Astyanax mexicanus: one gene and its partners. The protein of the gene in region 3 purifies or fractionates together with the protein of the main gene of each other region. This does not show direct contact. Links are inferred from orthologs where the notes say so. Each region holds a gene or a part of one and is shown on either strand. Other genes may lie near its edges.

Region 1 (8,377 bases), about 57 Mb from region 3:
ACTGAGGAATGCATAGTTAATAATCACTACCTAATAACAGATAATTTCAATAAAATTATTGATATTTCTAATTATTCTAATTATTTGATAATTATATGTTTAAAACTGAACATTGTACTGTAATGTATTTTTAACAGGTATATATGAGGATTATATGTCATAGAAGAGTGTTTCTAAACCTTTGAATGATTGTTTGAAATTTTTTTGTAGCATGAGAAACTGAAAGTCTGATTCAGATCCTAAGAATTTGCATATGTGTGTGTGTTTGTGTATGTGTTGGACTCACTCTCCAACAGACAGCAGGTTCTGTTTCTCATCCTGTTTGGTGCGGGGTCTCCCCATCCGCACCTTCAGGGGCGATGTGGGGGATTTCTGACTCGCTGGCTGGACGAAGTGAGCAAAGAGTTCAGTCTGTTTCAGCAGGAACTCAAACCTGTTAGCCCTGTCTGCTTTCTACAGAGAAAGAGAGAGAGAGAAACAGAGAAGGAGATAAGGTAAAGTGTTTTCATTCACACAGAATTGACAGTGATTCCTAGCAGTATTATAACACTCGTAATTAACACTCACTCTTTTTTCTTCATATTCAGGGTCCACTGTGCCTTCTTTTATTGCTGCTTTTGGAGGGGGGCCCAGCAGGAACGGAGGATCCTTCACACATACACAAACACAAGTCACATAAACCGTCCAATTTTATACAGGACCAGACCAAGGACATGCCACTGCTCATTTAATGTTTTTTTTCTTTTATTTATACAGACAGAAGTTTTCCTGCTGTGCTTTAGGCATGTAGCACCTCCACCGGTGTCTTGTTTACTAACTGCAGGGTCATCAGCTGGGGACCACCGCTCATAGATGTTTTGCTCCTTAACCCAGAACACCTCCTGGTGGTGGCGCAGTGAACAGGGACGTTTTATTATTTTCTACATTGTAGATTAATAGTGAAGACGTTAAAACTATGAAGAAACTCATATGAAATTATAAAATAAAGTGTGTTAAACAGGCCAAAATATGTTTTTTTCTTCAGTGTAACATCTTTTGCTTTGATGCCAACTTTGCTTACTCATTATTCTCTCATTCACTTCATTAAGGTAGAACTAGGAATGGTTATTAAACTGTCTTAAAATAATAATAGTAATAATAATAATAATAATAATAATAACAATAATAATAATAATCATTATTATTATTATTGCTCTCATAGTAGTACAGTACTAAAAGCAAAACTAATACTATGCAACATTGTGATTTTTTCACTGCCCATGCCATAGAAAATTGTCATCTTAAACTAATAATGAGACCGGATGCAAGTGCAGGCAGAGCTTATACCACACACAATCCAAAAGACAGATAAGGGTCAAATCACGGGCAAACAGGGTTATCAGAGGACGATGTTGAGACGTAGTAAAAAATCAAAGCTTAAGGTCAGAATACCAGATACAGAATAGACATAAAACACTCAGAGCTAAGAGTTCAAATAAAATACTCTTAACTGGGGCTCCTTTATAGAGCCTGTTAATAGAGTTCAGTTGAGCAGGGTGGGGTCGATGATCAAAACTCAGGTGACGCCAAGCGCTGTTAGGGTGGAGAGGGTGGACTAATACTGTTCAAGTGAAAAATTATTATTACTATTATTATTACTAATATTCTCAATATTTATAGTAGTACAATGGTATTAGAAACATTAATATTATGCAATATTGTGGTAATTTTACTGTTTGTGCAGTAGAAAATATTGTAATACTAATACAAGCGTATGTTTTATAAACATACTACTGCTACTAATACTACCAATACTACTACTAATATTTTTTGGATTGATTTATTTGTACACTTCACTTTAAAGCAAGGTTTTCCCAATACATTTAGAGTATTCCCCCAGTAAAACATTTCTCTGGAAAATCCCTTTAAAATGACAAGAATAGACTAATAAAATAAATGAAATGTGTCCAGAAAGAACCATAAAACAGATTATACAGCTCTAAAAAAAATTAAGAGACCACTTCAGTTTCTGAATCCGTTGTTCTATTATAAAAACTACGGACAACATTTCTCCCAAATGCCAAATAAATTATTGTTATTTACAGCATTTATTTGAAGAAAATGAGAAATGGCTGAAATAACAACAGCGAAGCAGAGCTTTCAGACCTCAAATAATGCAAAGAAAACAAGTTCATATTCATAGAGTTCAGAAATCAATATTTGGTGGAATAACCCTGTTTTTAATAACAGTTTTCATGCATCTTGGCATGTTCTCCTCCACAAGTCTTACACACTGCTTTTGGATAACTTTATGCTACTCCTGGTGCAAAAATTCAAGCAGTTCAGCTTAGTTTAATGGCTTGTGATCATCTATCTTCCTCTTGATTATATTCCAGATGTTTGAAGTTTGGTCAAATCAAGAAACTCATAATTTTTAAATGGTCTCTTATTTTTTTCCAGAGCTGCATTTTTTAAAAAAATGTACAGTTATAATATAACGTTACACCTTTAAATCCCAGAATTACTACAGGCAACTTTTGATATAATATATAATCATGAATAATGATATAAGTAGTGGAGCATATAGCTAACGTTATATATCATTTTTATTGATTACTGTAATTACAGTGTTACTCATGTGGAAATTAGGTGTCAGGTTTAAATTCAGCTAATTAAAGTACCAATATCAGACTGACCTCCTGAAAGAAACCAGAATCACACAAACTAAATTACCAAGAACGAAGGAGCTATTTAATGTGATAAATCTGGGCCTGGGAGTCTCACCCAGCAGCAGCACGACAGACAGAGACAGAGTTAGGAAAGCTGGAGACAGATGTTGTTATATAAATCTGCGTGTTTTGGTTTAGTTTATAGTTTGTGTTGGGAAATGTTTAATTGGTGTATTTCAGCGCTGAGTCTCCAGCGAAATTCGCCATTTCTGTGCTGTAGAAAACTTGTGCTTGCTGTGGAGGCTGAAGTTGGCTCCATATTGGCATGTTCCGTTCCACCTTAAAAACTACTGTACTGGGCCAGCGCGCTCAGAACAGGCGCCAAAGCCTAACCGCCGCCCAGTTTAAGGTGGAGCGGAAAATTCGAATATGGAGCTGGAGAAAAATAACACAACTTCAGCTCTGTGACTTCTTGTTGTTTCTGCGGTTAAATGTCCGATTTACCTTCTCCTTCCCGGGCCCGGGCTCCCCAGAGGTTGACGGCACCTCTTCATCAGACATGTTTAGCCTCTCATGAGCCGCTCAGCGAGTTTCACACAGAAAAACACAGCTCGCAGCCGCAGCTTCAGACATGGCAGGCATACGCCCCCTTCAGCGGGAAATATCGCGATGGTAGAGCCCCGAAGTACCGCGAGATTTTGAAATGCATTGATGTAAACAAACCCTCAAGTCTGATTTACTCTCGTTAACCCCTTAACATGCCGGCGTTTTTGTCAAATTTCTGCCTGATATTACACAGCTATATCTTCACTCTTAAACGTGATTTTGTGTTTTAGTCAGGAGAAGAAATATAATCCAGTTAAGTGAACTTACCGGCCAGGACAACTCAATAAAATGAGTTCAGAGAACTTCAATCTGAAAACTTAAAAATGTTTGTTGAGCCAATGAACAAACGTGATTTCAACCAACTTCTGGTATACTATACGTGTCAATGCTCTTTTATCAGCGTTTATATATGTTTAGGAAAGGGACAAGGTTTGCTGCCTCTGATTAGCCATAGGCTCATGAAAATTCATGAGCTATAAAATGAAGTATATTCTGAGAAGTGTTTTTGATAAAGGTGATTTACAGGGGAAAAAAACAATAAAATAATTTTGACTAGTGGAACAAAACATGTTAAAAACGGCTTTTTACCCAATTGTTTCACAGTCAGTGACATAGAATGCAGTCTGGAGTAGTGAAAAGGAAATGTGGGGAAACCTCCACAAAATATTACATACTACAATGAAGTCTGTAGGGATTTTATCCACAAAAAAGAGCCGATAAACACAAATTGCAATGTTGATCAAAGTAAAAATGCATACCACAAAATATTTAAATATGTACATGGAGTTTTTTCCCTAACATATGAACCTAAGCCCCACTGAGAGAAAAAAGTGATGAAAAGTAATATAATTTCCAAAGAAATCTCAAGAAACATCCAGGATTTGATGTGGTTTATTACTGTAGGACACGGGGTAACCAAACATTTCTTAATTAAAAGGAATATATATAAATGTGGACACAAGTGGACCATATATAAATAATAATAATAATAATAATAATAATAATAATAATAATTATAATAATAATAACCAACTTATAATAGCTGAGTTTAGTCTAATGTCATTGGCAGCTTATTTTCCATTGGCCTCTGTCACAATCTATTTGCATACTTGGTATAAATGATAACTTGACTGAGTTAAGTTGAATGAACTTAACATGTTATGTATTTACAACTTAACTGAGCCAAAGCAAAATGATAACTTTTGAAGTTAAGCCAATGAATTTTTTTTAGCAGTATTAAGGATTTCCCTTTGAGCATTACATATAAAATTTTCATGTTTGATAAAAAACATTATTAAAAATATTAGCTGTAAAAGTAATTGAAAAGATTTTAAATTATTTGTCAAGTGAATATAAGAATTATGAATGAAAATCACAAAATTGGCACCTTCCTGAACTTTTAACATTTTTAAATAAATATTTCCCTAAATATGAATTAATCATTTCATGTCCTCCAAACATTTCATTTTGTTACAATTGTCTTCTTTTTATGTCTATTTCAAACATGCAGAATTTGGGGTTGATTCCTCTCAAAACTGATATTATTATTATAAATAATTATAATTATTATCTTAATCATTATAAATTATCAAGAGTACAGAGTGAACATGCAGCTTCTCCAAGTGGTCTGTGGGAGAATCCCTACAAAGCTCACAAAGTTTTAGAATATAAATAACTCATTTTACTGCAGAAATAAAGGGTTTTGTATCTACACTTGTATATTACCAGCTTTTTTTCTTTACATTAAGAACTAGGTAAGACTCAAATTAATTTAGAGACTAAACTATTACAAAGTACAAATGAGATGTTGTTTTGCAATATTTAAATAATTGAACAGATAACTTCATTATCACAGTTTGAATGTATTCCTCTGTTTTACCTTTTTATTACTGTGTTGTAAATAGCTTTGGCGACTAGAGGGCGACAAAACCAGCTAATTCTCGAGTTTGAATGCTTATTGTTATTTCTAAACTGTCACTGGCTTTAAATGAGCTAGTGGGGGTATTTAATTTATTTTTCGATGTAATTAACATTTGTTAAAGACTTTCAAATTATTATTATTATTATTATTATTATTATTATTATTATTATTATTATTATTATTATATATATTTTTAGTAGTAGTAGTAGCATTGGTTGTATTACTTGTAGTAATGGTAGTTGTATATTTATTGGTATATTTTATCATTAGTGTAGTAGTCTAGTTGAATGTAATTATTCATACTAATAGTAGCTCTAGTACTAGTAGTAAGAGTAATAGTGTAATAATAATATGATTATTCTTAACATAAGCTGCAGTAGTAAAATAGTCGCAATAGAAGTGCTAGGGGTATAGCACTATTTAATGCTTAATGGTTGTAGCAATAATGGTAGTACTATTACACTAGTAGTAGTAGTAGAATAGTATTTTTAAAACGAGTACTAGTACAATTGTATTATTATTATTATTATTAGTAGTAGTAGTAGTAGTATTAGTAGTAGTAGTAGTAGTAGTTACAGTAGTAGTAGTATAATAGTATTTTACAACTATTATTATTAGTAGTACTAGTACAATTGTACTATTATTATTATTATTATTATTAGTAGTAGTAGTAGTAGTAGAATAGTATTAGTAGTAGAAGTATTAATACAATTGTTACTTATGGTAGTAGCACTACACTAGCTGTAGTAGTAATAGTAGTATGACATATGTCATATAAAGCACAGTTCCCATCTCCTTCTCTGAGTAACAGATGGCCCAGTAAACCATTAAAAGTGGCTTCGCAGCATTTTCCAGACAGACACACACATATACACTCACACACACACACAGGGTCATGTGCTACTGTGTCACACTAATAGGAGGGTCATCTCTTCCCAACCAACCACCCACCCACACACACATACACACACACAAAGAAGGAAAAAAGAACATACACACACACTCAACACTGCATGCAAATACGTACATGTCCTCTCTATCTCTCTTTCCAATTCATTTACAAGAAAGCTTAGAAAAACACACACACACACTCTCTCCCACTCCTCTGGCTCTTCTGGAGAACTATATCTATCTTTCTTTGCCTCATCCCTTTCCCCTCCCCTCTCTCTCTCTCTCTCTCTCTCTCTCTCTCTCTGATCAGTGCTAGCTAGTTAGTTCCTCATCTAGACGCTGGAGGCTTCACACAGGATTTGCTCTGTGTTCAGTCTACACACACACACACACACACACACACACACAGAGAGAACACATACACAGAGACACATGGACACAGACATGAGCTCAGGGGACGTGGTGTGTACCGGATGGCTCGTCAAATCCCCGCCAGAGAAAAAGCTCAAGAGATACGTGAGTAAAAAAACTGTTGTGTTTAGTGTGTGTGTGTGTGTGTGTGTGTGTATGTGTGTGTGTGGTATGTGGGTGTTCCTGTAGATACATTCACTGTGTTAAGACAGATAAAGGCTTAATACCAACCACGCCGATGCATCACTCACTGACACGCTGAAGAAAAACCCTGTGCCCTGGTACCCTGAGTTTACTGGGTTTAGTGTGTGTATGGGTGTGCGCGTGCGTGCGCGCGCGAGTATGAGGCTAGCAGGTGCTGCAGTGCTGTATCAAACCATCATCAGCAGCTCACTGGCCTCTAAAAACACACCCGTCATGCCTTGCTTTTGATAGTTCAACTGTGTATGTGTGTGTGTTTGTGAATTCTGGATGCCCTAAAACTGTAACTAGCTAATTTATGTATTAATTATACTAATCAGTACTGACAAGCCTTCATTTATCCTATATTCAGTTCATCACATCACAGTCTCACACCACCTAAATCATTGTTGCCCTGCTGTGTTGTGGGTAAACATGTGCCTTAACCCTCTATGGCATAGTGTTGCCCTCAGACAACAAATCCAAATGGTTGGGTATTACCCCATACCTTAATTATATTTAAAAATATATAATGTTAAAAGGCATATCTACTTCAAATGCAATGAGTTGTACAATTGGTTCATAAATACAAATATGTATATGTGCAAGAATGTGTAAAAACATTTGGCTTCTTATATTCTTATTATATTTACTTACTAAAACAGTGTTTTTTTCATCTGTTGTCTTTGGGCAACATTATGCAGGTAGACCACTCCTAAAACATCTGATTAAAATAATCAGTTTCTTATCAAAAAAAAAAAATAGATTTGATAGAGGGACTAAAATGGTACTCCCATTTTAGTATGGATGTAGTCAGTTTTCCAAAACATGTGTGGTTTCTTTTTCCCTGAGGCTAATCCTGCTAACAAGTAATGGAAGATTCTCTGATTATACCCCACCAATTAGCTTTGTGCTAACTATAGCTACATGCCTAAAAAATCACACACTCTACTACCTAGACTGTGTGGAGTGGTTCAATCATCTCTCACATTCTGTGTGTGTGTGTCTGTGTTTCTCACACTGTATTCTGATAGCTATCTAGTTACCTTATCTAGCACTACATGGACAGGTAACTTGTCTTGTTTCCATTGTCCTGATCCTTTTGCTTGATAAAAGTGTTTGAAAAAAAAATAGAAATGTACAAATATGGGCTAAACTATCACAACATACTCCTACAACACACAACATTCTCCTAAATAGAACTACAAACTACTAAGTACAAGCTACATTTAACAGCATTTCATATCATTTTCAGGAATGTTCTTCAGTATTACATTGAATATTGAGCTCAGATGTTGTTTTCTGGTTTTGAATTGGTCTGTGAAGTATGCATTAGCGTGAAGTACTCCGCCGAAGCGTCTTCCTGGTCTTGTGATGTATTCATGAGCTGTTTTGGAATGAAATAGTGTTGGTGGTTCTAAGTATGTTGTAGGTGTTGCCCAACCAACAGCATGACAATCATAACAATATGTGACAGCAAAACAGGTCTGGAGTGTGTGTGTAGTCACTATGGTTGGACACACACGGCAAAGAACATGATTTGCAAACGAAATAATCTAGGTAATAATTTATGATGTAAAAATATTAGTAGATAATTTAACTTGTGTTTCATTTTTAGCTGGTTTCAAGCAAGTTAATTAGTAAATAAAAGTCTGCTTTTAAGACATGAACATTATTGTACTTCTTTCAAGATGACAATGACCGTGTTATACAGTTCTAC
Region 2 (8,141 bases), on a different chromosome or scaffold from region 3:
GACAAAATGAGACATTTCTTGGTGGGGAAATCTGCTGTAATGAGCCTTCCTCCCACCTCTATTGGATACGCAACAATCACACCAACACTGTTCCATATGTCAGACTGTACTACTGCATCCACTTCCCACCAATTATTTATTTTACATTCCTTAACCTGAATATCCATCAATTACCCACCAAAAAAACTGCACTGTGTATCAAAACCTCTATAAACCTACTTCATGAAAAATCAACACAGCTCAAGTCTAAGCTGGTCTTTTAATGGTCAAAGTGCTGGTAATTCCCAATTTAACACACCTAATTCTGCACAATTTATTTATTTTCTAAACCATTTTAAACCATTGCTAGTGACTCTGTGTACATTATCTTAGTATATCTTGCTAAAATGCAATATTTAAGTCTAAAATCAGCCTTTTTGAGCATTTATGATCCATTGAAAATATTATATAAGGGATGACTCTAAACCTACGATTTATGAAAAATCAACACAGCTCAAGTCTAGGTAGGTTTAGAAGTTAAATTGTGCAAAATCAGGTGAGTTAAAGCAGGAATAACCGACACTTTCACCATCAAAAGAGCATCTTAGAATTATGGTCATCCCTTTTATAGATTTTCAATGAATCAAAAAGGCTCAGAAAATCTGTTTTGAGACTAAAATCATGAATGTTAGCTAGATATACTAGCTACAAGCATTGGCTAACCTAGTTAGTTACATATTTTAAAGGTTAATCATAAAAATCAACCCAGCTCAAGTCTAAGCTGGTCTTCTGATGGTTAAACTGTTGGTTATTCTGGCTTTAACACACCTGATTTTGCACAGTTTAACTTCTAAACCCACCATGATAGAGTAAAGAACATTGGTTAAACCTAGCTAGTGACTCTCTGCACATTATCTTAGTATATTTAGCTAAAATACAATATTTAAGTCTAAAATCAGCTTTTTGAGCCTTTATGACCCATTGAAAACCTTATATAAAGGATAACTCTAAATCTACATTATGAAAAATCAATCCAGTTCAAGCCTAGGCTTGTCTTTTAATGGTAAACAGAGTCTAGAACTAAAAGTGTGCAGATTCAGCTGTGTTCAAGCAGGAATAACAAACACTTGGACCATCAAAATACCATCTTAGACTTTTACCATAAAATAGGTTAAATTTTTTTTAGATTACTCATGAAAAATCAACCCAGCTCAAGCCTAAAATGGTATTTTGATGTATTTTTCATAAAGTATATTTATGGTAATCTCTTCTATAAGGGTTTAAATGAATCGTAAAGGCTCATAAAGGCTTATTTAAAACGTATCTAGCTACAACTAACAATTTAAGTCTCAAATCAGCCTTTATGATCCATTAAAATCTTTATATAAGGAATGACTGTAAATCTACATTATGAAAAATTAACACGGCTCAGGTTTCAGCTGGTATTTTGATGGTAAACAGACTAACTAGTTGGGTAAAATGCAACCAAAAATGGGATTAGAACTAAAACTGTCCAGATTTAGCTGTGTTAAAACAAAAAGATTTTGAATGGATAATAAAGGCTTATTTGAGAATTATCTAGCTAAACCTCACAATTTAAGTCTCAAATCAGCCTTTATGATTCATTGAAAATCTTATATAAGGGATGACTCTAATCCTACATTATGAAAAATATGTTTATTTAAGTGTTAGCTAGATATAATAAGCTAGAGACATTGGCTAACCTACATATTTTAGGGCTGATTATGGAAAATCAACACAGTTCTAAGATGATGTTTTGATGGATTTTTTATAAAGGATGTTTATAGTCATCTCTTATATAAAAGATTGTGAATGGATCATAAATGCTCATAAAGCCTGATTTGAAACTTATCTAACTAAAACTCACAATTTAAGTCTCAAATCAGCATTTATGAGCCTGGCTCTAAACCTACATTATGAAAAATCAACACAGCTATAGTCTAAGCTGGTGTTTTGATGTATTTATGGATTTTTCCAAAAAAAAGTATATTTTGTCATCTCTTATATAAGATTTTAAATGGACCAAAAAGGCTTTAAAAATTCTGATTTGAGACTAAAATTGTGAATGTTAGCTAGATACACCTAGTTACATATGTTAAGGCAGAATATAAAAAAATCAACACAGTTATAGTCTAGGCTGGTGTTTTGATGGATTTATGGATTTTTCATGAAGTATATTTAGAGTCATCTCTTATATAAGATTTTGAATGGATCATAAAGGCTTATTTGAGAATTATCTAGCTAAAACCTCACAATTTAAGTCTCAAACCAGCCTTTATAAGCCTTTATGATTCATTGAAAATCTTATATAAGGGATGACTCTAATCCTACATTATGAAAAATATGTTTATTTAAGTGTTAGCTAGATATAATAAGCTAGAGACATTGGCTAACCTACATATTTTAGGGCTGATTATGGAAAATCAACACAGTTCTAAGATGATGTTTTGATGGATTTTTTATAAAGGATGTTTATAGTCATCTCTTATATAAAAGATTGTGAATGGATCATAAATGCTCATAAAGCCTGATTTGAAACTTATCTAACTAAAACTCACAATTTAAGTCTCAAGTCAGCATTTATGAGCCTGGCTCTAAACCTACATTATGAAAAATCAACCCAGCTCAGGTATAAGGTGGTGTTTTAATGGATTTATGGATTTTTCCAAAAAAAGTATATTTTGTCATCTCTTACATAAGATTTTAAAAGGCTCAAAGTGCTTATTTAAGACTAAAATCTAAAGAAAGTTAAATTAAAAAGTGTTATTTAGATGTAAGTTAGTAAACACATAAACATCCTCCGGCGAGGCCGGGCTCCACAGCGGCTAGGCTACTCACTCCTATCCGGAATCTGAGCAGCGCCAGGCGGATGCAGTGGGCCATGCAGACCGGGGGCAGGAACCAGACCTTGGGCGGCGGGGTTCCGCGGTTCTGGACGTGGCTGATGATCTGCTGGGCGGTCTGCCGCTCGTTCACCTGCCGCTTGACCCACTCGTGCAGGCGGCCTTTCTCCAGGGCTCCGTTAAAGCAGACCAGCAGCTCGATGTTGCCGGTGAAGCAGGCTTTAGCCAGGGCGGCCAGGTAGCCCAGCATGTGGTTCCACTGCCCGCCGCTGACCCAGTCCGTGTAGAAGCCGCCGTACAGCCGGTGCAGGCAGTTCTCCGCGTCCACCAGCAGCCGGAGCGGCGACTGGGGCGGCCTCTGCCTGCCGCCGCCGACCAGACTCCCCCGGGCCAGCTTCTGCAGCTCCACCGGCACCACGGCGCTCGGGCAGTGCTTCTCGATGTACTCCTGGAAACCTTGGACCCCCATGATGATTCAGTGCGTTTTTAATAAAAAATAAAATCCTAAATAAAGCGAAATAAAGCTGAATAAACCGGATTAAAGGAGCAGAGAGGAGCTCCTGCTGCTGCTCCTCCTGCACCGGAGAAACAGACTGAGCCGAATATTGCTGGAGGAGATGAATCAGTGAATAAACAGCTGTTATTAGCTGTTTTTTGGTGAGTTATTGGTGTGTTTTCTCTTTTTTGGGGGGTTCATGGCCGCTGGCCGCCATGTGCAGTCCTATGGAGCCATGTCTGAGAGAGGGAGAGGGACAGGAGCACCGTGACGCATGAACGAGTCCAATCGGCTCCTGTGAATCGGTTCTTTTGAATCGGTTCTTCTGAATCGGCTCTTATGAGTCCATCCTTTCCTTCTCCTCCTCATTTTCTTCCTCTATTCTTCTTGTCTTTTCCTTCTTTCCTACTCCTCTTCTCCTTTTTTCTTTCTTACTCCTCCTCTCTTCCACCTTTCCGTCTCCTCCCCTCCTCCTTCTTCTTTGCTACTCTCCCTTTCCTCCTCCTCCTCCTCCTCCTCCTCCTCATGTTCTTCTCCTTTTACTTCTTCTCATCTCCTCCTTCTCCTTTCCTACTCTTCCTTTCCTTCTCCTCCTCTCCTCCTTTCCTTTTCTCCTCCTTTCCTCCTGCTTCTCCTTTTCTCCTCCTCACCTCCTCTTCCTTTCTTTCTTCTCCTCCTCCTTCCCAAATCCTTCTTTCCTCCTCCTTTCCTACTCCTCCTTTTCTCCTCTTCCTCTTCTCCTTCTTCTTTCCCTACTCCTTCTCCTTTCCTTCTCTCCTCCTCCCTTTCTCCCTTTCCTATTCTTCCTTCTTTACTTCTCCTCATCTCCTCCTTTCCTTCTCCTCCTCTCCTCCTCCTTTCATACTTTTCCTACTTCTTCTCTCCTCCTTTCCTAATCCTTTTTATCCTTTCTCCTTTCCTAGTTCTCCTCTTCCTTACCTTCTCTTTTTCTTCTCCTGTTTCTTTCCTTCTCGTCTTCTCCTCCCTTCCTACTCTTCTTCTCCTCCTCCTTTCCTACTTCTCTTCTCCTGCACCTCCAAACAGTCAGCAGATATATGGTCATCCTGTTAAATGTGGAACATATGTAAGTAATGATATATATGTTCTACAGTCACATAAGTGTTTTAATAAAGTTGAATTATTTCTACACATACACAAGTGTCAGGTGCTCAGGTGTTTTGTGGGCGTAGCCAGAGTGATGTAATGCCAACATCTTTAAAACATTTCCAGGATCTCTGGAAGCTTTTTAGAGGAGGATTCTTTCGTCTCCTCTGGTATTCAGACAGATGGCGAGATGCCGTATAATTTTTAACAATTTTACAGTATTTTCCAGTATAGATTTGTCTGTAAATTCAAATAAAATAATATATATAAATACGCAATTAAAGTATAAAGTAATGAAATAAAGGGGGGAAAAGCCTTCCCAAACATTGTTTCATCTGCATATATGCTTATTAAAATAATGTAAATATATTTAAGGTAACTTATTTCAAACATATGTCTCGAATCTCTACATGCATCATCTTCATACTAGGCTGGGAATTAAGAATCAGTAAATTGATTAAATCAGACATTCGGCTCATTAAAACATACAGTTCCAGAGAATCGATTCAGTAAAGTGAATCGAACGCTCCATTATTAGTGACGCAGGTTGTGAGGAGGAGCCCTGACCTGGTGCTTTAGCATCACATTAGTGGGATAAAAGTCTGTTAAAGGACCAGTCCAACCTTTATTCCAGTTTTCACGTCTTTTCAGTTTTATGTTTTGTGAAATGCAGCCAGCAAAATAAAGATATTGTGATGTAAAAGAGAAAAAATCCATACAAGACAGTATGGTTCAGCAAGGCTTACAGCACTTGTGAGCGCAGGGTGGATGAAACTAATGATGCCTTCAAGTCTTACTCAGAAATTCCTACTTACGAATTTGGGAGTCGTAATTACGAATTGACATGCATTCGAGTGTTTTTTCGTCTGGTAAAAATAGATGCTATTTGGAAAATCCTTTTGCTTATATTTTTGATCTATTATAATAAAAAACAGGAGGTTTACTTTGCACTACTCTGAGAGAATGAAGTGAATAAGACATGCATTAGTTGAGTAATGTTTTTTTAATAACATTAGAACCGTAAATCTTATTAGACTTTTATGTTTTTGCATGTATTGCTAGTGGTTTTATTAATTAACTAATAGTTAACTGCTACCAACCATGGCGCAAGTTATGATGGAGGATTTTGGGGGTCTTACCCCCCAATTAACCCTTTCATAACCTGCGTCCATTACAATGGACTGCATCTATTTTCATTTGTTCTTAAAATGTTCTGTGGTGCATAACACTCTTTAGCCCTATCTGGACGGGAATAGTCTCTCTGGGGGACGTCTGTGAAAAATATTGAAAAAATATATTTATACAGTGATAAAACTCCTGCATTTAGACTGTAATCGAAAAAACAAGAGGACCAGTAAGTTTTTAGGCTTTTTTTTCTCGGCACATGACATGAGTATTGTTCAGTAGCTCCTCCATTTCCGCTCACTGTTGTGTTTTTAATGTGGATCTCTGTGGAAACTGTGGCGTGCCGAAAGTGTAATTACGGTGCGCGGCAGTGGACAAATAGCTATTGTATTAAACGTGAGAAGACGAAACTCAGAGATGTGCGTCCGGACGGGACTAAAATTACCGGAGGAGCACGGAGTTCAGAGAAAAACAGTAGATAATTCAGCCTGTAATTTTCTCAGAGGACGTCTGAGAAAAACGTCCCAGATGAATAAACCCCCCATAAAAGAGAAAAATACCCCAGAACCTGCTGAGAAACAAATCTCTTTCGGATAGAGCTTTTGAGACATTTTGTCCATGGGAATAGACCATGAACCAGAAAATAAAAAAGTTTACAAGCCATTGGAACTGAAGTTTAGCCCTGCCCAATGCACTGGGGAAAAACAGCAGCTTTTAGAACACTTAAAAAAATACCTTCAGCAATAGCTTATGAAATAAAAAAGTCGATATCAAATATATATATATATATATATATTTTTTTTAAACAGACACTCCCAATGCAATGGGTATGTAAAAAGTAGTGGATTAATACAAAAATGACAAAATAATCATAGTAATAATAAAAAAAAGAATTAGGACCAAGCGGAAACGGCCTGTTTCCCTTTAGACCGCCCACGAGCCTTGTGATTGGCTCTGCCGTTTGTTGCTAACGTGTGATTGGCTGTTGCCGTTGTCCCTCCATCTGACCTGCACCTGGAGCTGCACACCTGTGTTTAGCTAATTACAGGAGCTCGTGTTCATCTGATACTGTAAGTTATGAGCACGCTGAGCGTTTGTTCTGCTTTATATCAGAGTTTTTTTCATGTTAATATTAGAATCTGTGTGTGTGTGTGTGTGTGTGTGTGTGTGTGTGTGTGTGTGTGTGTGTGTGTGTGTGTGTGTGTGTGTGGTAATTAGGCAATTAGGCGGGGGGGAGAGTAAACATAAGCGACTTCTTTAATTATTAGTCAAAATAATCCAGAATTTCTGCTTATTTGTACTCAAGATAGTGTATAATTTAATGTTAATGAGGTCTATTGATCATACATTCCAAACAAATAAGTGTAAATAGTGAGTTGGAGTGAATTCCACCTTAAATACCGCTAATTTATATACTATTCCGCTTTAAATGCTGCTGCTAATTGACCATTCCTCCTTAAATGCTGCTGCAAAGTTACAATTCCGCTTTACATACTGCTGCAAAGTTACTTTTGCATCTTATATACCGCTAATTTACTATTTCACCAAAAAATGCAGCTGAATTATATTCCGCCTTAAATACCGCTAATTTATATACTATTCCGCCTTAAATGCTTCTGCTAATTTACTATTCCACCTTAAATGCTGCTGCTAATTTACCATTCCGCCTTAAATGCTGCTGATAATTTACTATTGTGCCTTTAATGCTTCTGCTAAGTTACTATTCCACCTTAAATACTAGTAAATTACCCTTACATATTAAATACTGCTAATTTACTACTCCACCTTAAATACTGCTAATTGACCATTTCCCCTAATATTTTGCTAATTTACTATTGCACCTTATATACTGCTAATTTATTTACCATTCCACCTTTAATACTGCTGCTAATTTACTATTCCGCTTTAAATACTGTTAATTTATTATTCCACCTTAAATGCTGCTGTGGCGACACAGTCTTAAGGCCATACCTATGGAGGAACTGACCGTCTTCATCTTTTAAGGTGGAACGGAACAATGCTGTGTTTATACAGTGAGATTACAATGCCATCCATACACATACATTTAACCACATTTAAAAGCATCACACTGGTTTAAACACAGTTAATTACTAAAATACTTTGATATATAAATTAAATAAAAAATATACATTATATATTTTTTTAAATTCATATATGTTTATATAAAAATACAAACATTTTGACATATTTCTACAAATGTAGAATGTATATAAATGTGTTTATATTATAGAATAAACATTTTCTCTTACCAAATACATTAATTAATTAATTTATTTATTTTACTAACTGTTAATCCATTAGTATGATTTGTTCTTTAAATATTGACTTACACTACTGTACATTAAATAAATATTCACTTATTCGATTAAAAAAAAACTCAGCATCCTAAACAATCAATCAAACCACAACCAGTCTACTAAAGTAAGCTATGTTCATGCACTGACATCTTCTGCATCTACAAAAGCACAGGAAATCAATTAAATTCATAATATAATGTACCTTTTTTGATCATAATTGTAAGATTTAGTATATGTGTATTGGACAGTTCTTAA
Region 3 (8,362 bases):
AAAAAAGCCCAGAATTGCTAGTTATAATCCAAACCTAACTAAGCTTAATTAGTCATGAAGAACTAAGCTAAAGCACATGTTCTTGAACTGCGCTGGTATAGATGTCTTCATCTACCATATTGAACAACTCTGTCCCTGTTGAAAGTAGATGCGACAGACGCTGACTAGGCGTTAAGTAACACTGACAAATTCACAAGTACAGCTTTGTGGGCAAGTTCGTCCAGGCTTTCCATCTGAACATGTACGAGCAGAGAAAAATGTTGCAGCAAAAATAGAAATAGCCATCTGCAAGTCTAACATAAGTGCTGAATAAAAACCACTGAGTCAGACAAACAGGATGAGCTGGGTGCCAGAACTGGCAGTGCTTCTTACTCTGTGTACAATCTTAAATTAACATTCACTGTAACTGCACTTGTATATGATGAACAAACGTTGTTGAAAAGACTGAATAAGAACAAATAAAGATAAATGAGTAATAATAAGAGGAACAGTCTGCTGTGAACATGACCTTTGGTTTGTATCACAGCTCATTCTGCAGTTCTTTTAAGACTAAAATCAGCAGTTCAAATATGCATAGCGGAAACACCAGAGAAGATAAAAGTGGGCTGTATTGCTAAAACTACTCACACACTGTATTACCCCACAGGAAGAGGCACAAAGCTAACATAATTAAATCACACAGTGTGAGTGTGTGCTTTTTAAGGATCGATTTGTCACAAGATCAAATCAAATTAATTCATTTTCCCTCCTCTGATATCCTATCCTGCATCTTCTGCTGCATTCAAGTAAAAAGAGAAGAGGAAAAAAACAAAACAAAAAAAAACATTAACAGCATTACAAAAGAAACAACAACATGGCGGTCTTAAGAATAAACCAAATAAATGTTAAATATCATTAATAAGAAAATTACACAAGAACAAAACAGCTCTCATTTATCAAAACAAACAGACCTAGATCATAAAAAAACAAGAAACACCGTAGCTGCTCATCAATGATTCATATATTTGTGTTCTGATGCTCTGCGTGTTGTCCTGTATACTGTCCAAAGAAACAACTAAACACAGGACAAATCATCTGCTGCAGTCTGGACAATTCTGTCAGTCTTATTTTTAAACCACTTTCTTTATACACTGTCAGTTTACAGTTTTTTGTTTTGTTTCTCAGCAAATATAACCATGAACACTGAATTCAGTAAGTTAAGTCATAAAACAAAACATGCTCAATACATAATTAGCTAGCTACATTAAAAGCTTAGAGAAAGGAAAATGTAAGAAACAGAAGGACAAACTTAACCTAGCTATAGGACATGTATATGAATATACATCCCAAATAAAGCAAAATAAATACACTAATATTCTCCATAAGATCTATCCATGCAATTTTCTGATAACTAAAAACTGGGATGTAAGCAATACTTGAGATAAACACATGGCTCATATTTTCTTTACATTCTAATGTGGCCTTTAACCTTTGGACAGAATTAAGTTTATATTTATTCCTTGTTTTTACTTCAAAGGCATCATGTGTTACTTTGAATAAAAACTAGTCTTTTAAAACTTTTTTTTATAGCAAAATAATATATTCATCAAGAAACAGCATATATGAATAATTGTACAGATCATAAAAACATTAGCTAGAATTAACCGAAAATAAAATCTGTTTTTTTTATCAGCAACATATGTGAAGCCTAGATTTGTATTATTTGTCCATAATTAATGATGTGTGTTTCAAGAGTGAGAAGCAAGTGTTAGCTAGCTATATTTTGTATTGTATTTATGAACACAATATTTTACACAGTCCGATAAATAAATGTTACTTGCTATATGAATAGAAGAACTCTCTCAGTGGAGATGACTGCTGTCACTTATAAACAGGGATCAATAACCAGCCAAAATAAAAAAATCAATCAAGTTGTCTGTGTCATTTCTTTCAGTTTTATTTTCTAACTAGGTTTAGATCACTAGATAATAATATATAAAGCTAACCAGGGCTAAATAAGCATCATTTACTCTGAATCATAACCGTACTTTATAAATATAAACACGTGAATTCAGTAACTTAACTATGGATATACAGCTCTGGGGAAAAAAATAAGAGACCACTTGAAAATTATTAGTTTCTTTGATTGTACCAAATTGAAAACCTCTGGAATATAATTAAGAAGAAGATGGATGATCACAAGCTGAACTGCTCGACTTTTTGCACCAGGTGTGGCATAAAGTAGTAGAGGAGAACAAGCCAAGATGCATGAAAACTGTGAATGAAAACCAGGGTTATCCTACCAAATATTGATTTCTCTCTTTTACTTACAGAAAATGAGAAATGGCTGAAATAACAAAAACGATACAGAGCTTTCAGACCTCAAATAATACAAAGATAAGTTCATATTCATAAAGTTTTAATAAATGCTCTAAATGACAATCTTTTTATGTGGAATTTGGGAGTAATTCACATCAGATTATAGAATAAAACAACAATGCTCATTTTACTCAAACATACACCTATAAGTAGTAAAATCAGAGAAACTGATTCAGAAACTGAAGTGGTCTCATTTTTTTTCCAGAGCTGTATGTATATAAGAGAGTTCTTCACCAGCTCCTCTTCAACACTTGTCGTTAGCTTAGCCTCCACACAGCCCACAGACAGCTCGAGAACAGCGTGTTTAGTGACCGGTGCTGTGTGTTGTGATGACCTACCTGCAGGAGTCCAGTCCACATTAAACACAGTGATTTTTCTCTGTTTGTTTTCGGTCAGAAAAGCGGAGCAGCCTGGAGCAGAGCAGAGAAAAGCTAAAGCTAAGCTAAGGCTAGTGCTAACCCCGCTAACAGCTCTCACTGAACAGAGGGAGGGAGGCGCTTTCTTTCTTTCTTTCTCTCCTTTTTCCGACACCGGTGAACGAACTCGGGCTTCAAACAGAGCCTGGTCGCTTCTTCCCGCCTCCTCCGCTCCAGTCTGATCTCCTCACACCTAAGACTCGCGGTTGGAGCCGCTCTCTGCTTCACCCAGCTCCGCTTTGTGTTCAATAATCGCCGGTATTCCCGCTCTAACTCTGCCCGCTCTCCGCGCTCCTCTCTCCGCCTACTGCACAACCGCCGACCGCCAAACCCCGCAGCCAATCGCGGGCAGCCGCACTCAAGCTCCCCACAGACGCGGGCGCTCATTGGCCAGCACGAACGCGCGCCGCGTCCAATAGCAAGCGGTTGTGCGGCGGGGCCCGAAGTGGGGAACATGTGGAGAAACTCTCTTTGTTCTTCATTTTTAACAAACACTCACTTTTTACAGCTTCAAAGCGAGAGATCTGCTTCAGATCTGTTCTTCTCATCCTCCACCTGCAGCACGAGGGGCCTGGAGCTGCCTGTCGCAGCGCATGATTACTGTAATGCCGATATATCGCTTATATCATCCACAAATTATAGTGCATTATTATAATGATTATAGTATTTCATTATACTATAGAATAGAAACGATAGTATATTAGTTTTATATATAATTATGCACGTTGCCTTTGCCGTGCATACACTGTTTTTTTCTCTCTTTTTTAAACAGATAAGCATGTAGGTTATGTTAGTTGGTGCTTCAGCTTTATTGTGATTCTAAACTTAAGTCTGCACTTCTGTTGTTTGTATAGTATCAATATAAACACAAGGTCAATTTTTTTTATCCCCAAATATTTCTACTGGACCCACTGAACTTGGGTCAGCCGGTTCGCCAAGCCACGCCCACCTGATACGTTGTGATACGTCAGAGTTCCATAAAGCCATTTTATGGGGATTATCAGCTTTGTTTAGGAGGGAAAACCATCCAGCCTTCTCCCCACAGAACCGTTATTCCCCACTGTGGTAACCCACAATTACGAGTCCTGGCCAACTGCAGCCTTTCCTCTCCCCTTTTAGTGTGTTTTTGGCTTAATTGTGGAAGATCCAGTTCAAATTTAATTGCTTAAGGTATATTTAAAAAACTATATGGTTAATCAGAGATGTAGTCAAATCATTTAAGAGCAACAAGTCAATAAATCTGTAATAAATATTTAAATACAGCTTTTATAAGTGTAATCAACATAGCTGAGAATGGAAGCCCTTTTCTACCGCTTGGGGGATAGGGGGGGGGGGGGGGGGTTCATTCACTAGAGCCATATCTTAAAAGGATTAGTTTCTCAGGGGGTCCTGGGGTACCATGTATGTGTTTTTCTCAGACGTCCTATAAGAAAATTACAGGCTGAATTACCTAGTGTTTTCTGCTGAACTCCTTGGTCCTGCTATGCCTTTGGGTGTGCGTTTCCACAGAGAACCACATAAACACAACAGCGAGTGGAAATGGAGGAGCTACTGAACGTGATGTCACATGACCAGAGGTGGAAAGTAACAAATTACATTTACTCACGTTACTGTAATTGAGTAGATTTTATGAGTAATTTGTCATTTTTAAAGTAGTTTTTAAAATAGGTAATTTTACTTTTACTTAAGTTCATTTTGACACAAGTAATTTACTTTGCTATAGTGGGAAACTCCCCGTTACTGAGTAAAAATAAAATGCTGGGAAAAAAAAACAATCGCCTGAATTAAAAAAAAACATTGGCGCGTATGCTCGTGCGTGGAATAACGAGGCAATGACGTCCACATGCAATGCAAAATGTGCCTGTCCCGCCTGACCGAGCTGTCAGCTTTCAAAACTTCCACATCAAACCTGCGAAAGCACGTGGTGGTAATTTATATGTATATTCTAAATTCACTGGTTAGCTGTGGATTTACTTTACAAAGACCAGTAATCTCATATGCAGTTGCACAAATTATACAATCTTCTGTATTTAGTAAAATATACAGCACAATAATCCCTTTATTAAAAATTGTACAACCTAAGCAAGTTCTTTTACAGAATTCTATTCTACAACCCCTGGCAAAAAGTATGGAATCACCAGTCTTGGATGAGCACTCCTTCAGACATTTCATTCTGTAAAACGAACTCTGATCAAAAACATGATACAATAATAAGGTCATTCCAAAGTGCAACTTGTTGGCTTTCAGGAACACTCAAAGAAATGAAGAAAAAACATTGTGGAAGTCAGTGAATGTTACTTTTATTGACCAACCACAGGGAAAAAAATATGGAATCACTCAACTCTGAGGAAAAAAGTATGGAATCATGAAAAACAGATAAACAAAAGATGATTCAAAATACATCACTAGTATTTAGTTGCACCACCTTTGGCTTTTATAACGGCTTTCAGTCTCTGAGGCATGGACTTGATGAGTGACAAACAGTATTCTGCATCAATTTGGTGCCAACTCTCTTTGATAGCAGTTGCCAGATCAGCTTTGCAGGTCGGAGCCTTCTTGTGGACCATTTTTTTCAATTTCCACCACAGGTTTTCAATTGGGTTGAGATCTGGACTATTTGCAGGCCATGACATCGACTGAATGTGTCTTTCTCCAAGGAATGCCTTCACTGTTTTTGCCCTATGGCACGATGCATTGTCATCTTGGAAAATTATTTCATTATCTCCAAACATCTGTTCAATTGAAGGGATGAGAAAACTGTCCAAAATGTCAATGTAAACTTGTGCATTGATAGAAGAATTAACCACAGTCATCTCCCCAGTGCCTTTGCCTGATATGCAGCCCCATATCATCAAGGACTGTGGAAATTTGGTTGTTTTCTTCAGGCAGGCCTCTTCATAAAGCTCACTGGAACGGCACCAAACAAAAGTTCCAACATCATCACCTTGTCCAATGCAGATTCTTGACTCATCACTGAAGATAACTTTCATCCAGTCATCCACAGTCCATGATTGCCTCTCCTTAGCCCACTGCAGTCTTGTTCTTTTATGTTTAGGTGTCAATGATGGTTTTCTTTTAGCTTTCCTGTATTGAAATCCCATTTCCTTTAGGCGATTTCTTACGGTTCGGTCACATACATTGGCTCCAGCTTCTTCCCATTTATGCTTCATCTGTTTAGTTGTACTTTTTCGGTTTTCAAGACAAATGGCCTTAAGTTGCTTGTCTTGACGCTTTGATGTCTTTCTCGGTCTACCAGTACGCTTGGCTTTAACAACCATTCCATGCTGTTTGTATTTGGTCCATATCTTGGATACAGCTGACTGTGAACAGCCCACATCTTTAGCAACCATGCGTGAAGAGTTACCTTCTTCAAGAAGTTTCACAATCCTCTCTTTTGTTTCAAGAGACATTTCTCTTGTTGGAGCCATGGTTCTTGCCACTCTAATTCGTCCAGCAGCCCTCCAAGGTGTCATGACTGCAGGTGTTTTTAACTGCAGACTAACGAGCAGATCTAATCTGAGGCAGGTGTCCATTTAGGGAAAGGAAATTGACTGGGTGTGTCCTTATTTTCTACCTTCAATTTGAGTGATTCCATACTTTTTTCCTCAGAATTGAGTGATTCCATATTTTTTTCCCTGTGGTTGGTCAATAAAAGTAACATTCACTGACTTCCACAATGTTTTTTCTTCATTTCTTTGAGTGTTACTGAAAGCCAACAAGTTGCACTTTGGAATGACCTTATTATTGTATCATGTTTTTGATCAGAGTTTGTTTTACAGAATGAAATGTCTGAAGGAGTGCTCATCCAAGACTGGTGATTCCATACTTTTTGCCAGGGGTTGTATTCTATTCTATAGACACCTATTGTGGAAGATTTAGTTCAAATTGCTATTCTGGTAAACCAGCATGCTTATTAGTATAGGGTATGTTTTGCCTGAATGGCCGTATTTTGACCATGTAGAGCTTAGACCAATAAATTGGCATGTGTTGACGTACATGGCCATTACACTCCCTTGCAGACTGTAGCCCATCGATTTATGCAGTTGGAAGTTAGCTGTCCTCTAGTCCTTCATCAATGGTTGGTCTCTTTCCAGAAAGCCGCTTCTCTGTATAGTACTGGAAATTATGTGTGGGACCAAATATCAACCTTACAGAAACATCACTGTATCTATTAAAGTAGTACTATGTAGGTATTTCCAATAATATTATCAGTTAGAAGAAGTGCAAAACAGGAGTCTAATTTTGCACTTATGAAGTGGCCTGTACATAGAGTCCCCACCCTTAATACACTAAAGCTTTTGTTACTAATTAAAAGTCCACTTTTCCCATAAATTATACCCAGTTGAAAAATCCAGCTTGTGGTGGTAGCTGGTTTCAGAAGGTCTAATCTCTCCCTCAATGGTCAATGTGGTTGAAAAGCAGATCACCAAGGTGAAAACATGCACTATGTGGCGAGCTAGCTGGTTAACCTGCTCTTGAACAGCATAGTGTATGTTGCATTTTATTTTAGTAATGCTTGGTGATGCTGGTCAACCAGCACGGTGAAGCTGTTTATATGCTCATAAAGGGTAGATGCTCATTCTTACCCTATTTAAAAAACACATCCACAGCTTTATTTATTTGATGAAGACAAACTGATGTGGTTTGAACAGGCTATGACTTACTTTACAAAATTAAGTTCTCTGGTGAGCTGAACAGCTGAGACAGACAGCCATTGAATAACTGTTCCAGTTTAAACATTTACTTGGTCTATTAGTGCTTTTTTTTTGGTAAATCATTTTATTAACCTACAAAATACCTTTGGTAGCTTACTTGCATAGCTTTTAAAGGGTTTGTATAGCAAACAATATTTTCCAATGTATATTTACCAAAATGTTTGGCATGACAATTATTAGTAACTATTAAACCAGTTAGTTCTGACCCTGCAATGGGATTGGCTGAGAGGCGTTCTATGAGTGCAGTTTTTAGTCTGTAATGCAATGTGACCGAGGGTCTCCATGTAACATATTTTCTCATCCTCTTTAACTCAAAACATTTCAATAAACAGCAATAATAGAACTGTGGTATAATTGTTGATGCACAGTAAGACTGAAGTGTGATTAGTGCCATTCTATACAAAACCTTTAACAATATTGGCCTTTTATAAGGAAGCTCACATCAAATACCAAACCCATATGGGCTGATCAACTATATCTGAGACCATAAATAACAATAACTATTACTATACATGGACAGGATATTGGAGGGAAACCAAATTTTCCTGGTTTTGATCAGTCAAATTAATAAAAGGTTAAAATAACATATTGTTTGATGCTAATCCCTGAAGATAAGGTTTCCACCACATGAACCAGAACGATAAGTCTTACGGCTTATTTCTATTTCTAAGTAAAACAATATAATTGAACCGAGAGTAGGAAACAAACATTTTTCCAATTTACACTTTTATTTAAAAAGATTTTGAAAGAAACCTAATAAACAGTGCGAACTTTGGAATGAAAAAAAGAAGGATTCTGCATTCAGGAACACTGGTTACAACAAAATTACTCCAGACTGCCACAGTCTGCGTATCAGAATACTTCCTGCATCGG
Region 4 (7,900 bases), on a different chromosome or scaffold from region 3:
ATAAACAAGGCATATTTCGCCCTAAATGTTTATTTCCTGAAAGGACATACAGCTAAATAGGCTAGATACTGAAAAGCAGAGATTCTAGGCTTTAAAATAAAAAAAAATAATTATTCATAAACACAAAAAGATATTAACTATGACATATTTCTGGCCCGTCGGCGGGCCAGGGCGTGTTAAGAGGTTAATGATGTGTATTGGGCTCTACAAAATAAACTACGCTAAATCGACATTGCAAACGTTGCCCAATAGCTGACGATTCAAGATTATTTCCATATCTCTGTTTACCGGCTGCAGCTGAAGTCTGTCTTCTGGAAAACAAGTTTGTTAATTTTGCACATTTGGCTGCTTCTTCTTCCATCTTCTTTCTTTTTTTAATATGGCCTTTTCGGCTCCACCTGGCCTCTTTTTACCCTCCATCACAGTCGTCTGACGCTTTGTGCTATTCTGTTGCTGCATTTAATTTGATCGCTTCAGAAAAGACCACTCGTGGACGCAACCAACTCAAACATTTGGGAGAGGAGAATTCCCTCAGATGGTTAAACCCGACGTAGGGGCTGTGTTGTCAGACGAATAGAGAGTGCATACGTAGTTGAATGGCAATGAATGCAAGAATAAGATTAGAGAAGTGAGGGTAAATAATTTTTTCCGTCCAACCGGCCCAAACTCGCCCCGGCCCATCGGGAATAAAATTATATTAATAATAATAATAGTAATAATAAAAGTGTGTGTGTGTGTGTGTGCAGTTTTAAAAAAATCTACAAAATATTCAGAATGCTAACTAAAATAGAATATGTCAAAATAATGTCAATATTATTATTATTATTATTATTATTATCATTATCCTATATTAGACTGTACTATTTATTTTATTAAAAATGTTTATTCTTTAAATTAATAAAATATTTTAGTTACTGTCACCAAGAACATTATTATAAACACACCCTGTAGCTAAATGGCCTAACAAAGTACTACAGTATATTAACCTAACTAAAATAGAATATGTCAACATCTAATAATACGTACTTGTAACTTTCTGACAGGTAATATTCTCACTCTAATGGTAACCTAATCCTAATCAAATATTATATACAGTTATCTTTCACTAGTGGCATCAAATATTTTCTAAGGTGATGTTATCGTAAAACAGTACTGAGGGAGCTGTGCTGAGCTGTGAAATGGTAAATTCATGTGCGTTGTGTCTGACCCGTGTGTGTAAACCTGTGTAAGGAGAATGAAAATGAAGATTTGTGCAAAAGAAACACTCATTCATAAATTCGTCAATTAAATTCTGAACGACGGAATTAATGCGTTGCTAAAATATATCATAGAACCACACAGCCATACTTGAAGTAGCATAGAAAATGAATGTGGCTTATTTTAGACCCACGCTGCCCGTTTGAGCGGCAGCGATACAAAAAGGGCTTTTATTTAAAAAGTAAGAAAGCAAAAAATAATATAAGGATGTACCATGATCAAAAACAATTTAATTAAGGAATACCTTGAATACTGAATGATTCGGAATATTACGATCTCATAGTGAACAGTTTTTATTTTTTTAAGAGTGACCCTAAAACGTATAGAATCTCTACACAGATCTGCTAAATGTGTTGCTGGATTTTGTGTGTCCGGTTGATTTCCTAATTTCTCCATTTATATGCTGTGGTGGTCTCTGTATTGCGCGTTTTATTAAAATCCCCAATGCCTTCGAGAGAGAGAGAGAGTGTGTGTGTGTGTGTGTGTGTGTGTGTGTGTGTGTGTGTGTGTGTGTGTGTGTGTGTGTGTGTGTGTGTGTGTGTGTGTGTGTGTGTGTGTGTGTTGGCTGGCTCAGGTCTTGCAGCATCAGACAAATTAAACATGATTACTAAATAGGCCAGCAATGAAAGAGTTGATAAAAAATAAGTACATTTGATTACATTTTGTTATGTTTTAATCAGGGACTACATTTTGCAAAGCCCAGTTTAGCCAGAAATACATGAATCTAGCACATCTAATAACACAGCAGACATTTGAAGCACTTGGGGGCTTTTATTTTAACAGGAGATATAGTTCCCTGACAGAGTCAGAGGGCTGAACTGCTTGGAGAAGGAGGGGATATGTATATTCTGTCCGTTTTTGCATATGGAACGCCTGGAGGCGTTATGAAAACGCGTGGTGGCGTTATGTAAGCGCCTGGCGCCGCCACACGCTCTTAAACGCCTGGCGGCGCCTCGCGTTTGTTCCAAGGCGTAAAAGTAAGCCCTGCACGGCGTTTTGGACGGCGTTTTTTAAGTATTTCGCACGCTTTAAGCGCCGTCAGACCCAGGCGAATTCTGACCCATTTGGCTTGCCATACACCTACAGTTACTGCTACACACACACGTGCTCCACTACAGAAGCAGTCTGCTGAATGTCCACCACACACAATCAGAGCTCCATATCCCCCACCCACCTCAAACAGCTGAACACACACACATACACACACACACACATGTGCTCCCAACCATCACAACCGCACAAACGGAACACACACACACACACACACACACACACACACACACACACAACCGACACACACTTCAGCCTGCAGCGTGTCCGTACATACCGTCCGCCGGCTGCTGGAAGTTGACGTAGGCGTAGCCGAGCGAGCGGCGCGTGATCATGTCCCTGCACACGCGGATGGAGAGCACGGGGCCGGCCGGACTGAACTTCTCGTACAGCATGGCCTCCGTGATGTCCGGGTGGAGGTCTCCCACGTACAGCGAGGCCATCGGGTAGCTCCCCGCGGCGGCCGCGTTCATAGCGCGAGGTCCTCGGTGTCCGGCTGAAAACGGAGCGGCGGAGGAGCGCGAGGGTCCGGGCTGAGTGTGTGTGTGTGTGTGTTAGTGAGTGTGTGCGTGTAGCAGAGGGAGAGAGAGAGGGATAGAGCTGTTTAGCCCGGCTCCGCTGCTGTTACCTGTGGTAAAGTTTCCGAGCTAATAAAAAAAATTATAGGTGGTCCTGAAAAAAAATAAAAACCAAAAAAATAAAAATAATAATAATAATAATAATAATAATAAAAAAACTTAGAATAATTAGTCCCGGAGCGCGCAGAGGCCTGTTCTGACTTTGAGAGAGAAAATAAAACGCTTGGTAAAAATTAAAAAATAAAAATGTGTTGTTGTTTTTTCCTTTTTTTTTTTGGTTTAGTCCGCGAGGTGTTGGTTTTTTTATGAAGATTTTCTGTATTTTGTAATTTTTATATGTTTTTTATTTTTTTAAGGTAACTAAAGAGGAGTGAGTTACACACTCACGGTTGGGTGGCCGGGGAAAGAGAGCGCGTGGGAAACGCATGGGAGCTTTATAAGTGCAGCAAGGAGCGGTCACACACACACACACACACACACCAAGAATGCGCTGTTAAAGGGAGAGGGACGCTGCGATCTGTGACAGCTGTTCTGTTCCCTCAGCCGCCTGCACAACAGCGCCCCCTGCAGGCAGATATCTGAGCTCTCAGGTCACATGGTCCGCAGGCAGCGGAGAAGGTGGACAGTAATACAGTATATAAATTAGTCGTGTCTTTTCTGTTGACAAATTCATCATATTACACTCTGAGAACTTTCTACTGCTTTTTGTAATAAGTACATAAAGATTTAAAAAATATTTTTTATTTTTAAATGATTTAGTTAATTACTTGAATTTCTTGCCTCTTTGAGAGCATCAGTAAAGTTGTGAAGAGGTAGAGTTGGTATTCAGTGAAAAGTTTTCTCTGATGCTCTCACTGAATAGCCCTATTTGAGTAATGCTATAATCCATATGATGGCAATAACTACTTTACTTAGTAAAGAAAAAATGATTTAAGAAATAAAGGTCAGTCAATCCCAAAAATGTAATATCTTTTTGAAAGCATCCTCAAGTGCAGTCACTCATCAGAGCGCCCCAGGAAAGAAAGAGCAAGAGTGACCACTGTTGTATGGGATAAATTAATCAGAATTACCAGCCTCAGAAACTGCAAATTAACAGCGACCCTGATGAAAGCAACTAAATGCTTCACAGAGCAGGTGGTAAAGTTTCCAATCTAATAAAAAATAAATAAATAGGTTGTCCTGAAAAAAAAAGAAGTAATAATGAAAAGAAAATAAGAAAAAAAATAGTCCTGAGCACACAGAGACCTTTTGATGGAGCACTTTAGAGTATGTTTTGTTCAAATCTCTGCCCTAGTATTTTATACTCTGTCTGGCCAAGAAAAAAAAAATCACCACTTGAATTGATCTAGGCTAATCATGTGGGGTTGCTGCAGTTTGTCAGGTCTTTTTTATACACAGTCTATGGTCAGGACACATGGGCCACAGGCAGTGGTAAGGGCCAGTAATACAGTATATTTACAGTATATATGAAAAAAGACAGGAACATGAGTCTAGTCATTTGTGGCACTGGACACAACCAACAAAAACAATCTGTGTGTATAGATAGTGTGTGTATGACACCACTTTCTGCTGCCCTTCCTCCTCCTTCTCCAGGTCAGGGTTCTTTTCCTTCTCCATTCTTTCCAGCTTATGCTACTTTTCGGTCAGCATCCAGGAGCTTCTGAGAGTCCAGTTTGGCCCAAAGCTCCTCCACAACGCAGTCTGTCGTTCTGCAGTGCATTCAGCATCAGTCTTTGGCTCACACCTCTTTTCCTCAGTCTACCTGCTGCTCTATCCTTCATCTCCTCAAGCTGCCCATTCCCTCTCTCCACATCAGATATGCCATCTTTATACTAACTATAACTTAGTACAAATACAATGCACAAAAACATTTACATCAAAAGTTACAAAGAAAGGCATCATTTCTAGATAAATTAGTTAATCACTGAGGTGCTGCAGATACCTTGTCAAATATTCATGCATCAAATCAATATGTTAACTTATAAAAATTGTTTTTGTAAAATGAATAATTTAAGGGAACAAATCTGACATTTAGATTTTTGGATAGTCTACGCCTTTAAATGCAATGGGTAGAGGTCTAGATTGCATCATTGTATAATATTCACACCCTGACGGGATCTAAATAGTGCAACACTGCTATCTAGTGGGCAGGGTTTAAAACCAATTAAGCAACGAACGAATGAATGTCTTCATGTTTACCAATTACAATGGTGTTCTTAGAAATATCGCAATAAGCTATTTAAACACTTCTTTTGGACACCTTGTTCAACTTCAGGTCACAAAATGAACAAAGTCTTTCATCAGAAGTAAAGGAATCAACATAATGAGTTTGCAAATTTGCATTTTATTTACACAGTTTAAGCTTTCATGGTTGTACAGCAGTACTTCAGTCAGGTCACAACATCTTATTCAGCTTCCTGCAAGCACAGAGAAAAGGAAAGGTCAGTGTGTAAACAGGACAAGAACCAAATGTAACCAATATTATTGACAGTTGGAAACGGTAGTTTTTTTTTTGCCATTCAGACCTTATTTTAGCCATTGATGTACAAAAAAAAAACAAAAAATCTAAACTGTATTAGTGTAGTTACTCCAAGACATACCAGCATAGTAGCACATGGTCAACTAAAATTAGAGGACCACACTACAGGTGTTAAGCATCTGAGGGGTATGTAACTGCAATAGAGGATAGTCCATAAGGCATTGAGCCATACGCAGTTCAATGTGAAGCCCTTAAAAAACACTTACACTTTAAATTTAGATTTTAATTCATTTATTCCGAGATATTTTAAGTTTAAAGTTTAGCTCAGTAAAGCACTTTAAGACTTTTTTCAGCAAGATACCCTTCTTGTACAATTGTGCTTAAAATACAGAATTTTGGTTTGGCTCTGGCTCCCATGTTAACTATAAATCTGGTCAACAATTACATCAGCCCCAGTACAGTGCACAAACAAAGGTTTGGGCAGAAAACTACCAAAATGAAAGTTTAATGTACAGCAAAACGTCATTACCTCATTAGCGCCATCAGGGAGGACACCAGTTCTTTCTTAGCACTCAGTTTTGCCGACTCCTCCCGATCATCCAAACCAGGCGTCCCCTGCTCTTCTGCATAGTCAAGTGAGCTTGATTCATCAGAAACTCCCTTAAAAGTCAACTCTGACTTCTTCAGAAACTCAGGCTTATCCAGTACATCTGCATTAGCCTTTTTAAACAAGAGTTCTGTGTGAGAGACAACCAGAACATCACCTTCATCGTGGTCTTCAATCAGTTCTGGAACATCACTTTTTTGCACATCATACATAGAAGCAACAGAGTTCTCGCCTGAGGAAACCTTCTCCAGCTGTGGCTCTCTAAAATTTGTGAACACATCACCCCTCAGTTCCTCCTCAGGCTTGTCAGGAAGGCTCTCCAAAGGTGGCTGAGGAGCTTCTGCATAGTGTCCACCACTCGGTAAATGTGGGGCATCAGCCAGAGGATACCCATCAGCCATGCCCAAAAGTTCTTGATATGCAGGTTTAACTGCTGGAAACACCTGCTGTGGATCTTCTCTCTGCAGACTTGCTTCAAATTTGGCTTCTGGTTTCCTCCAAAACACATCAGCTGGAACGCTGCTTTGACCGGATAGAAGATCAGCTCTACCCTTCCTCTGAGGATAGCCAATTTCTATCTCAATGACTGGGCTAGACTGAACACCCATCATAAGCCCTGGTAGCAAGAGTGACAAAGCATCTCCTAGGCCTCGGCCTACAGCCAAATCTGCAGTTACAGGTGATGTCTGCCAGGGGGAGCGGTTGACCTTAGGGCTGCCAGACACAGATGCTCCAGAGACAATCCAACCCTTTCCAGTTGAAGAGGTCAATGCTCCTGATGGAGACGCACCAGACAAGATCCAGGGTCTTCTATTGGAAATGGTGGGAGTTCTGCCAGTCAGCGGCTGCTTCTCAAGTTCCTGTTCCTTGATTGATAGTGGACCAGTGCTCACCACTGCTTTGAACTCTGAAAACAAGAACATTGCTTTAAATAACATGCTCAGTCCTGTTACAAAGGACTACAACAATGGAGGGGTCAGATCCACAACTGCATGGCAACTACAGTAGTTTAAAGTTGATAATTTACTTATTTGTAGTTTCAAGCATACAGTGTGGATTAAAACAAATATTGCAAAGAGACAATTGGCTAAGAGAATGATCACTACGTAACAACGCAATAGGGATGGGACAAAATAATCAATATTGCAATACATCAATATGTGGCATCAAATATTTGAAACTGATGCATGAGATGCAGTATGACCCTCATCCTTACCAAATTACTGCAGTTTTTTGATGATTGAAGTAGTGATGTAAACATAAGTAGATTGGATTAAAAATGGAATGGACATTTCTTGGTGCACGTAAACTCTTAACTGGAGTATTCTGGGATTAGTGCATGAGTATTAGCCGACTGGCGCAACCAATAAATACTGACCACCAAAAGAAGCCGGATATTCAGAGGGGTATCTGCATTTTGTTGCACAGCATTCACATACGTCAGTCCGGCCACCCAACTCCACCCACCTGAAACAGCAAACAAGTTTGTCATTATGCTTCTGCATTAGTCACAGAACACAGATATGGCCTACATGAAGTTAAAAAGTTTACACATACCTGAATTTGTCAGTTACGTAGTTGCAGGACTTGGTGTCTGGAGTCAGTCCATGATCAGAGAGGGCCACAACACAGTGAACATAAATCTACAGATTACAGCACAAGACAAGATTAGCTCGAACAGTCAAAATAAACAATTTTTTTTTTAAATTATGTAGGTCAGCATCTCAATTCTTGTGTAACTAAAGTGACTTAGTAGTGGTTTCCATTTTCAAAAAGTAAATCTTTTTTTGAAAGGGTTTAATAGGGACACACAACGGCATCAAATTTCTCAGTATTGGGCGAGAATTGCTTTTTTTTTTTTTTTAAGAAAAATTGGCTGATTCCTTGATTTGACCAAGGAAAAAACTGATACTTGCTGACGTATTTAGT

The links.
Region 1: the proteins of ezh2 (region 3) and smarca1 purify together in Homo sapiens (affinity purification with mass spectrometry, with the first as the bait; 3 studies listed by BioGRID). This does not show direct contact. The link is inferred for Astyanax mexicanus from reciprocal best matches to the Homo sapiens genes EZH2 and SMARCA1.
Region 2: the proteins of ezh2 (region 3) and constitutive coactivator of PPAR-gamma-like protein 1 purify together in Homo sapiens (affinity purification with mass spectrometry, with the first as the bait; 3 studies listed by BioGRID). This does not show direct contact. The link is inferred for Astyanax mexicanus from reciprocal best matches to the Homo sapiens genes EZH2 and FAM120A.
Region 4: the proteins of ezh2 (region 3) and pabpc4 purify together in Homo sapiens (affinity purification with mass spectrometry, with the first as the bait; 3 studies listed by BioGRID). This does not show direct contact. The link is inferred for Astyanax mexicanus from reciprocal best matches to the Homo sapiens genes EZH2 and PABPC4.

Annotation. Positions count from the first base shown.
Region 1 is NC_064408.1:35,517,748-35,526,124, forward strand, and holds the start of smarca1 (probable global transcription activator SNF2L1), read right to left. Parts: upstream 3,313-8,377; 5' UTR 3,210-3,312; coding exon 3,153-3,209; intron 649-3,152; coding exon 568-648; intron 454-567; coding exon 287-453; intron 2-286; coding exon 1-1. Other genes in the region: gab3 (GRB2-associated-binding protein 3), read left to right, coding at 6,499-6,582.
Region 2 is NC_064431.1:32,840,666-32,848,806, reverse strand, and holds the start of constitutive coactivator of PPAR-gamma-like protein 1, read right to left. Parts: upstream 3,313-8,141; coding exon 2,839-3,312; intron 1-2,838. UniProt on the Homo sapiens protein: Component of the oxidative stress-induced survival signaling. May regulate the activation of SRC family protein kinases. May act as a scaffolding protein enabling SRC family protein kinases to phosphorylate and activate PI3-kinase.
Region 3 is NC_064408.1:92,430,188-92,438,549, reverse strand, and holds the start of ezh2 (histone-lysine N-methyltransferase EZH2), read right to left. Parts: upstream 3,110-8,362; 5' UTR 2,697-3,109; intron 1-2,696. UniProt on the Homo sapiens protein: Polycomb group (PcG) protein. Catalytic subunit of the PRC2/EED-EZH2 complex, which methylates 'Lys-9' (H3K9me) and 'Lys-27' (H3K27me) of histone H3, leading to transcriptional repression of the affected target gene.
Region 4 is NC_064421.1:41,826,479-41,834,378, forward strand, and holds the start of pabpc4 (polyadenylate-binding protein 4), read right to left. Parts: upstream 3,313-7,900; 5' UTR 2,781-3,312; coding exon 2,585-2,780; intron 1-2,584. Other genes in the region: zpcx (zona pellucida protein C), read right to left, coding at 5,281-5,302, 5,894-6,878, 7,350-7,438, 7,529-7,614.